Linked DNA regions of Schizosaccharomyces pombe. The protein of the gene in region 2 binds, or shares a complex with, the protein of the main gene of each other region. Each region holds a gene or a part of one and is shown on either strand. Other genes may lie near its edges. A codon is read from its position in the direction of its gene.

The links.
Region 1: the proteins of sup35 (region 2) and erf1 are in contact, whole or in part, in a crystal structure (PDB 3E20), measured with the Schizosaccharomyces pombe proteins. Residues at the interface, in NP_588225.1 of Schizosaccharomyces pombe: Ser571 (codon at 1,266), Ile572 (codon at 1,263), Leu573 (codon at 1,260), Thr574 (codon at 1,257), Thr575 (codon at 1,254), Gly576 (codon at 1,251), Tyr577 (codon at 1,248), Ser578 (codon at 1,245), Met611 (codon at 1,146), Phe612 (codon at 1,143), Asp647 (codon at 1,038); in NP_594680.1 of Schizosaccharomyces pombe: Gln285 (codon at 1,770), Phe288 (codon at 1,761), Ile291 (codon at 1,752), Ser292 (codon at 1,749), Tyr298 (codon at 1,731), Phe300 (codon at 1,725), Gln396 (codon at 1,437), Met399 (codon at 1,428), Gln400 (codon at 1,425), Lys403 (codon at 1,416), Gly404 (codon at 1,413), Phe405 (codon at 1,410).

Annotation. Positions count from the first base shown.
Region 1 is NC_003424.3:4,689,780-4,694,548, reverse strand, and holds erf1 (cytoplasmic translation release factor class I eRF1), read right to left. Parts: upstream 2,770-4,769; 5' UTR 2,623-2,769; coding exon 1,321-2,622; 3' UTR 811-1,320; downstream 1-810. Other genes in the region: multifunctional aromatic polypeptide Aro1, read right to left, coding at 1-778; GDP-mannose transporter Vrg4, read right to left, coding at 3,342-4,379. UniProt on the Schizosaccharomyces pombe protein: Component of the eRF1-eRF3-GTP ternary complex, a ternary complex that mediates translation termination in response to the termination codons. The eRF1-eRF3-GTP complex binds to a stop codon in the ribosomal A-site.
Region 2 is NC_003421.2:1,533,423-1,538,511, reverse strand, and holds sup35 (eRF3-like class 2 translation release factor sup35), read right to left. Parts: upstream 3,114-5,089; 5' UTR 3,060-3,113; coding exon 2,930-3,059; exon of another isoform or gene 2,896-2,929; intron 2,847-2,895; coding exon 988-2,846; 3' UTR 501-987; downstream 1-500. Other genes in the region: SNARE-binding protein Sec1, read right to left, coding at 199-239, 278-305; SPOM_SPCC584.03C (GTPase regulator), read left to right, coding at 3,835-5,089. UniProt on the Schizosaccharomyces pombe protein: GTPase component of the eRF1-eRF3-GTP ternary complex, a ternary complex that mediates translation termination in response to the termination codons.

The DNA.
Region 1 (4,769 bases), on a different chromosome or scaffold from region 2:
CATGTTCGTCAAGCGTAACTACTTCACACTTAGTACGAATTGAGGAAAGAATAATTTTTTGCAAAAGCGGTTTGATACTATCAAACTTGTATTCTCCTGGAACGGAAGGTTTGTTCAAGGCATCCAATAAAACAGCGGAATTGTTTTCAAGTAATTGAAAATCATTTTCGTTCCACATAGCAGCTGTTTTTATAATTTCGGACAAGCCATTTATGACTTGCCGGGGAGGTAAGGTATGTAAAAAGACCATATCAACATACACTCTAAGAGGTTGCCAAAAAGCACCAACAAGGTTTTTTCCCAAGGGAGTGTCAATACCTGTCTTCCCTCCAATAGAAGAATCAACCATAGCAAGCAAGGTGGTAGGCATCTGAATAAAACGAATGCCACGCATGAATGAAGCAGCTACATATCCCACTAAATCACCAATAACTCCACCTCCCATAGCAATAAGGATGGTATCTCGTGTACAGGATTGTGTGAGCAACCAATCTTCAATTTCCGCTTTCATAGCTCGGCATTTTGAAGATTCTCCAGGAGGAATCACATAAGTAAGCAACCTTGCTTCAGCCTTGGCATCTTTAATAGACTTATTAAAAGTACTTTCAATCTTTTCCAGGTAAAGAGGTGCAATATTTGAATCTGTAATTACGACGTATGTCGAAGACTTGAAGTTTTCCAGAATTTCAGTGCATATATATTGATGTATACCAAATCCAACTCTCACAGTATCCTTTCCGAGTATAGGAACTGTAATTATATTAGATTCGTTTGACATCTTGCAGAAGATTATAGTATTGCAAGATATATGCTACTTGCTAAGGACAAGCTTCTATTTGTAGATTGCGACAAGATACGACCGTAAATCTCGTTAATGCTAAAATTCATGAGAGCTCAAATCACAAACTAAATCAATCCTAAATACTTATTTAATTGCTAAACTTGCAATTTTAGAAATATTTAAACTTAAAATCGTAAGAGATGCAATATACTTACTGTTCGAGAAATCAGTATGATGCTCGGCATTTTAATTAATATTTTCCCAAATTTGCGGACAGCAGTGAAGGCAGCTAAAGAAAAATATTAGCCTACCGCTAATTTATTTGAAAAAAACAAAAAGAATAATAGTACGACACAACTTATGAAGGAGAAGAAGCGAGTGAATTTACATAGTCTAAGAAAAATAAGTCGATAAGATTTATAATGGCAAACCTCAAATATCACTAAGCAACCAACAAAAGATAGTAACTCAAAAAGATTAAATGACAATCGGTAAATACAAATCACGCTTAGTTTATTATATTACTTTTAAGGGGAAAATTAGTCGGAGTCGGAATAAAATTCATCAGATTCAGGATCAAGCATGGAGAGATCAAGCTGGTAACGCATAACAGCACCAATACCACCAAAACCTTTGACAAATTGCATACCTTCCTGAGATCGGTCAGAAACAAACTCTAAGTTAGCACCGTAATCCTTGTAATGTTCAGCAAGCCATTCAGAGAGTAGCATAGAGCTTACTAACTCCATTTCAGCACCTGTATCCTTATCTAGCAAGAACGAATTGGTAGAATCCTTTTCCTCTTGCTCCTTAGTCATATATGTAATAACAGGATTACCTTCTGAGTTCTTAAACTCATAACGGATCATATCAAGGTCTGCAAAACACAGAAGTGTTTCTACGGCACCTTCCTGAAGTGCATTCATAGTATCAACGACACCAAAACAGTATTTACCCGAATCTAAGCTAATTTCGTCGAAAAAGCGTTGTATCAATTTTTTCTCTTGGACATATTTCACATTTGACAAAGTATCAGCAGCCAATTCTATAGCCTGGTTAAAACCAGCGTCGCCACCGTACGAGACGTCTACAGTCTTGATAATACGAGATTGAAGACGTTGGTCAAACAAGTCACTTTGACCGAGTTCCGTTTTAAAATCAGCAGAACCAGCAAGAACAATACCCGCAACATTAGGTTTATCATCAGTAATAAAATGCTGCACAGCACCTTCAGCAACCTTTCGAACATAGTTGTGACGTTTTTCATCACGTAAACGGGCAAAACGAAGAGCAGATTGACCACCACGTCCATGTTTTTTAGGTAAATCGACAGTGAATCGTTGTAAAACCTCACGAGCACTACCAGAAACAACACCATATAAAGTTTGATGACCGTCCATAACAATAAATCCGAAGCGTTGATCACTTTCAAGCAATTCTGCTAAAGCTTCAGTATGAAATTTATTATCACAAAGATATTGCGAAGTATTAATTGGTTTGAAGGGTTCGAAATCAATGTTGAGCTTGCGTGTCTTATTGCCCTCCATTATAACTTCACCGCAGTAAATGACCAATCCATTATCAGGGACTTTATTGTACAATTTCAAACGCTCACGAGTTGAAGTAATTGCAGATAGAACTGATAAACGATTCACACGAGATTTAATGTTAGAGGCAGTGCCATACTCTTCGGCAAGCATATTGCTGTATCTGGATATTTGTTCGCCAGGTGGGATAATTAACGTAATCATTGAGGTGCCGTTTCCATGACAGTTAATCAATTGTTTTACCAAACGGCGAATTTTCCAAATTTCGATAGCTTTCTCAGCAGTCTCACTCATTTTGTAAAATTTGTTTTAAAGTTTTTTATACCCAAGGTTCTTGTACACACTATGAAAAATCCGAAAACCGAAATCCTATTTTTTTATAACTTGAACAGACAGTTCAAGCAACGAATTACCTCTTGTACTTCGTTTTTGGTAGTTGGTAGGTTTTTGCCTACTGAAAGGTGACGGCCTATGAAAACTTTTAGCACGATACATTTCGTTAACTTAGCTATCGTATTTGTATTTATTACAGTATTTCAATAATATACAAAAAAACAAATAATTTTTTGGAGGTAAAATATTAGTAAAATTGAATCACTAAACAATTCGACTCCAAGCGGCTGACAAACATTCAACCAATAGTTTAGAAGCTCAGTAAAAGGAAACGAAGACATAAGAACATTAGACGTCCTTTTTCCATCGGAGAGCATTTTAAAGAAAGAAATGATATTTAGAAAAAAAAAGCAAATGATTTAGGAAATGAAATAATAGAGGTCTAAAAATTGTAATTGAATGTCAGTGTTTTATCTGTCAAAATATTTCAAACCTAATAGTCACGTTGTAATAAACGACACGATCTCGTAATCAGGTTTTTATCGAACACGAGTAAAAGCGGTATATTTTGAGTAACGGTAATAAAAACTTTTTAAGTAAAAAGAAACAAAGTCTATTCTCTTATGCAGGCTTGAAAAAATTTTGCAAATTAAACATAAATAATAACCAACACAAAGGGTTTAAGACTTTGACAGACTATCGCGCATGCTTTGAGAACTAGCACTAACGGGATTATGAGTCATAGGGAGGATGGTAGCAGGATCTTTCTGACGTTGCTGTTGAGATTTAGCAACGGCATAAACAACACCAGAAATAAAGCCCAACAAAATAGCGGTAACAGATCCAAAAGTGATGGGTGCATCAAAAAACACTAAACCGGCAATAGCCAAGGGAAGTTTGTTAAGAGCACCAACCATACTATAAGTTGTCGAAGAAGTTACGCGTACACACCAGGCAGAGGTGTAAGAAATTCCTACTGAAGAAACACCACTAATAGCCATAGCCATTAGAACACCAAATTTGGCATCAGGAGGGAAATTTTGAGCAATGTTTTCAGCACTCCAGTCCTCAGTAAAGAGCGTGCAGATAACCAAAACAGGGATACTGAGTAAGTTGTTATAAAACATGGTATCAAAGTCACGAAAGTTGGTAAGTTTGATACGCTTACGCATCGCGAGAACAAAAGCAGCATTTGTGAGACAGTTAAGCACCATCCATAAATAGCCAGAATTTAAGGTTTGGGAAGCAAATGAGGAAGACTGGATGTCTGCCCAAGCAGCGACAATAGAAGAAAGAACCATTAATCCAAAAGAAAAAAGAGTTAAAGCAGTAACATGCCCGCCAAACCAAAGGACCTCACCATAAGCAATGATAATAATAGTTAAATTCTTAAATATAGTGTACACTGGAACAGAAAGAAATTGCAAAGCCTTCGATGCAGTATAAATCATAGCTACCAATAAAAAGGAAATAGGAAACCAAAATTTGGCCTCACGAAAATCAAAATCCCTATAATTAATAACTTTCAAACGTTTTAGTATCCCAATGGCTGCTACACAAACAGTGGATTGTACAGTCAAAAGGAGAAAGTTCATATTGTAACCAGGACTCGAAAGAACATATTTATTGGTCAAAGTCATCAATATGGAAGCCATGCAATATGACACCACTGGAAGAATCGGTGATTTACTAATTCGGTTTAGCATATGATTATCCATTGTTGTTGGAATTTCGTGATGGCTCCGGTGAAGTTGTCTACATACCTACCCACCATGTTTGGAAGGAGCGCGTACGTAACAGGCCTTACCCTTCCTCAAAGACACAGTCCATTGGTAACAAGTTTTGGCATACAGATTGATTAACATCTCTGTTGATCAAACTTAAATAACTTGGTCTTCTCATATAAAATATAATTATTTAAATACTTTTTTGTTCATCTATAAAAGAGTATTTTCGCCTGCAAGCCACACTTAATGTTACACCAATTCATATGTTTTACAACAAAGTATGAGCATTTACTGTAAAAGCTGTGTTTGAATTGTTGTGAAATTCCTTAGTGTATGAAGATCGTTTTCCAGTCGAAGTCGATCATATATAAAGTCGCGATG
Region 2 (5,089 bases):
CAAACCAAAAGCCAAAGATGTGAAACTGAACGGCTCCAAATTAGAAATAGGCCAATTTTGATAGTTTAAAAAAAATATGTCGGAGGAAATAATATGCTGCATATTCACAAATTCAATTCCATTTAAACAATATCCAAATCAAAATTCCCAGTAAACATTTCAGTGCACGTTATAAGTTTCACGGGTTCCATCTCTTACCTTCGTAGCACATTCTACTGAATTAATTTTGCTAAGAAACACTTATTTGTTAGTAATACACCAGCACAAATAACCATACATTCTTTTTGGAGCTCCAGCAGTGTCATCTCAAAACGTCAATGTCCCGTATTCCTAAACGGAATAGCAAAAACTATACCTTTCAACACTTCAATGCTTACTCTTAAAACCAAGCAACGTCAAAAGAGTACGTGAAATTCGGATACGGTACAGAAATGCTGGTGGAATGTAAACGGTAGAATGATCGGATTACTGTAAATATGATCCACCTCGGTATTTATTCGGTAAGATTTGGTGTAGTAGCACAATAAATTTCAGTATATCTAGTGATTTAAATAAACTATTATTTTACAATATTATGAAGATTTCAAGTGTAGTTTTAATCATTAATATGGATTGTAAAAAAACAACAACTTATTATCACATTTCACCCTTCCATAGCTGCAAAGTGCAACTGCTTATTTACTATTTGCTGACCTACTCCTCGCATTGAATTCTGTACGAAAAAAGTAAATAATTTCAAAGTGAATAGGGTGTAAAGGAGTGAATGTCCATTATTCTTCATATATACAACCCATCGCATTGAAATTAGGCATAGTAATACGCGTATATAACGATTAGATATACATCTTCTACCATACCGCTAGTCCACCAACTAAAAAATAAGCAAATCCCATTTTGTCCTAGTTGGATTATATACAGTAGAACCATAAAGTGTCATACATTTGCATAGAAACAAATCCCGAGCACGAGAAAATTGCCGAAATTACCCTAATCCAAAATTTTTACGACTTTGCCAACTGCAACCGTAGTACCCTGATCACGCAAAGTGAAACGGCCCATATACTGATAGTCCTCAAACCTTTCCATACAAACCGGAGTTTGTGTTTCCAACTCTGCAATAATTTTCATACCCTTGGTAGCAAACATGGGGGGTTTCTTGCTTTTGCGGTTTGTTTTGTCAAGTTTATGGAGCAACTTGGCAAATGAAACTTCCTCGACAGCGGTATGAATGTGCATTACACAAGAATAACCAGTTGTCAAAATTGAAGGCAACTCAAGGATCGCAATTTGTGCAATGAAACGAGTAGTAGCATGAACTGGGTTTTTAGTGGATGTTAAAACATAACCAGTTTGGACATCCGAATCGTCACCACGGACACGGAGACGAACTTGGTCACCGCAAATAGAAGAAGAGATTTCTTCATCAGCTTCATCATATATGGCTGTAACTTCAAGGGTTTGATTAATTGGCATAACCAATACGTTTGAATTTTTCTTAATCGAACCAGCCTCAATCTTTCCTTCTAAGATGGTACCCAAATCTTTATACTTGGAGGCAATAGGCATGATGAATGGAGCATTCACTTTGCGTTCCAAATGAGTCATAGAATCCAAGTATTCTAGCAAAGATGGACCTTGATACCACGGGCAAACCGAACTGTCAACACGATCCTTAACGTTTTGACCAGTGTAAGCAGAAACGGGCATATATTTAACATCAGTCTTTGAGTTGTATCCAGCGACACGACGCAAAAACATGCTGAGCTTATCGACACATTCCTTATAACGCTCCTCCGACCACTGAACGCTAGGTTCGTCCATTTTATTAATAACGACAACTAGATGATTGATGCCTTGTGTACGAGCCAATACGGCATGTTCACGAGTTTGACCACCGCGCTCAAAACCAGCTTCAAACTCACCACGACGCGCTGAAATGACTAAAACACCAATATCAGCTTGAGAAGCACCATTAATCATGTTTGTAACGTAACCTTTATGACCCGGAGCATCCAACAAGCTAAAGCGACGGTGTTCGGTTTCAAAGTAAGCACGACCAACTTCAACGGTTTTACCTTTTTCACGTTCTTCAGAAGTGCTGTCCAAAGCCCAAGAAAGATACCAACTTTCTTTACCAGCTTCTTTAGCTTCTCTCTCTATTTTCTCCATAGTACGCTTGTCAACCATACCAGTCAAGAAAAGAATATTACCACCCAGGGTAGACTTTCCTGCATCAACATGACCTATAAAAACAATATTGACATGTTCCTTTCCATACATATCCTTCAAAAGCTCTTGATCAACCTCATTTTGTAAATCGGTGGCATCCTCAGTGACAGTGGCGGGTTCAGCTGCCTCAGCAGCTTTCTTAAGAGCCGCTGCTGGAGCAGAGGGTGTTTTTGCTAGTTCAGCATCAGCAGATTTTGTAGGAGTTTCCTGGGGAGGAGGAGCAGCGGTCTCCTTCTTTGTTGACTCAGAGGTAACCTTGGGTGCAGGGGTCTCTGTTTTGCTTTGTGCAGCAGGTGCTGCTGGTTTGGTAGTTGTAGGAGCTTTTGTTCCACCAAGGCTGATGCTAATGGGCTTTGTAGACTTAGGAGCAGAGGTGTTTCCACCCAGGGACAAAACCTTTCCTTTGGGAATTGCTGGTTTAGGAGGCACAAAACTCTTCTTTTTAGAAAAATCAGGGACACGGCTTTTATCTTCATCAACAGTGTTTCCTGTTGGCTTTTGGTAGTATTGCTGATAACTCTTCGTAGGATGTGGCGAGTTGCTGTTTTGTCCTTGGCCTGTATATTGGGCATAAGGATAACCACCAGCAATATTGTTCACAGGTACAAATCCGGGGCCTAGCAAGAAGTTAATAATTTTTTTACTTAAAACAAGCAATCATCTCAAGACATATGGATGGTGTTCTAATTAAAAAACGTACGTTGGAAAGAAGGAATGAAGGGAGCAGCTTTAGGCGTAAACGTAGGTGCCTTTGCAGACATCGACAGTTTAGAAGTCTGCTTGGCGAGTTGCTCATCCTGTTCACCGTTATTTGGCTGATTACTAGCCATTTTTTGCCTTTATTAAAATATGTGGTAAAGGGACGGTGATGTTGAAGAGAATTTACACCACAGTATACACTGTGTATTCTTTTATAATATAATATTACGAGTACTTACGATGATATTATTAGCATCCTTTATATAAGCTTGTGCTATAGTAATTCAGTTAAGTTCATAAAATATTATATTTGAGTTTAATTTTACATTTGGTTGTAAAATCGGAAGCAACTGAATTGTAAATTGGTCATTTTCTCGCTTTTTTCTTCAGTAATACGCTATTATTGTCTTAAACAGGTAAAATATATTGACTTGCCTTGGGAGATAAAAAACAGAAACTTCGGTGGGCTTAATACCAAACACAACATTTATTAGCTATTGGGTTGAACAATTAATCAAAAGTTTTTAAATCTATTGGTTAATTAGTCTCCATTGTCACCAATAATCACTGCAAGGATTTTGTCATGGAAGAAACGATGAATCAGCGTTACAGCTTCAAAATATATACCAAGCAAGTTCCAAAAGATTCAATATGTAAATCCATTATATAATTATTCACTTTAGGATTTCCTTATACAAAATTCTATAGGCGTGTTTGGATATTAAACTTCTATCCTCCACATATCACTATGACTTAGCGCAAGTTCTATTTGGTTCTCAATTTACTACGCTTCTTTTTATTTCGTTATTAATTTGTTGTTAAAAGGAATAAATACAATTTGAATGACCATTATTTATTTGTTTAGCCTTGTTTTCTCTTGTGTTTTTTAAAGCCGCCTTTTTAGAAATGGATGAATTACTTAATGTAGCTTCTCATGCTGCGACATTTGCTACGAACTTCGCGTTGAAACATAGTATATCATTTGCAGGAAAATTAGCTGTTCAGCAAGTTAGCAGCTATATTAAACGTGCCTCTGCAGATGATCAAAGTGAATTGGAGTCTGTGAAAACTCAACTGCTTGAAATGATTCGAGTTGTGACGCCTGCTATCGAACTAATTGAAATAATGTCAGTCGGTGAAAATGAAAATTTTAAGAGTACTAAGCAATTAGTGGATTCTTTGCACGCTGACATCGAACAATTCACCAAGCATGTTTTAAGCGCCGCTCATTCGGAATTTCCGCCTTCCTCAGAAAAAGAAACTTTGCAGAAGAACGTTGATACGTCTATTCTTCGTGAAATGAAAACTTTACTTCTCAAAATTAATGATGCAGTTCCTCTCTTAAATCTGTCCATCACTACTTCTGGTGCTTCTATTTCATCTTCTCTTCCAAAATCTACTTCATTTTCCCAACTTCTACGAGCTAATTCATACATATATAGGGCGAATGTTGCATTTACTGGAAATGAACCTTTACAAGTTGGCCCCACATTTTTCCTGCGAACTTATAAAATTATAGATAACCACGCCAAGTCTGGTTATATAAGCAATGATTTAGTCATGTGGAAAGAAGAGATGCCTGTTTGTATCGCCAAAATGTTTCGCATGCCTCCTCAACGGTTGAAGTCCAAGGATACGGTTCTAGCCTATGCTTTATCTTTAAAACAATCTTTTGATGATGATCGTTACCATGATGAAGATGAGACTCCTGTCACCAAAACCATTTCACTAAATGATGTGCGCACGCTTTTTTTTAGTTTGTCCGGTAAACTTCTTCGGTTAGATGATGTACAAACTCCCGTATTATTACTCAAGTATGCAGATGATGAAACAGAGTATTCTTCAAATACAGCACCTTCGAACTGGATAGCTTTAGAAGCACTTCCTTTGGTATCAATACCTAATGAATCATTAGACGAATCTGATGAACTTGCAGAATCTCTTAGTGATTCTGAAGCTGCTAGGCTACAGCTTTTAGGCATCAAAAAACAAGAATCCGTTGCAAAGAAAAAGTCTTCCTTTCCATCGACTATAAAAGATCAACCTAATTTAACTTTACTGGAGTATTTGATTAGATTATGCGCGCTCGAAAGTACTACCCAAGAATCAGTTTTACAATTACCTGACGAACAAATTGCATTGTATCTTAAAGATTATCAAG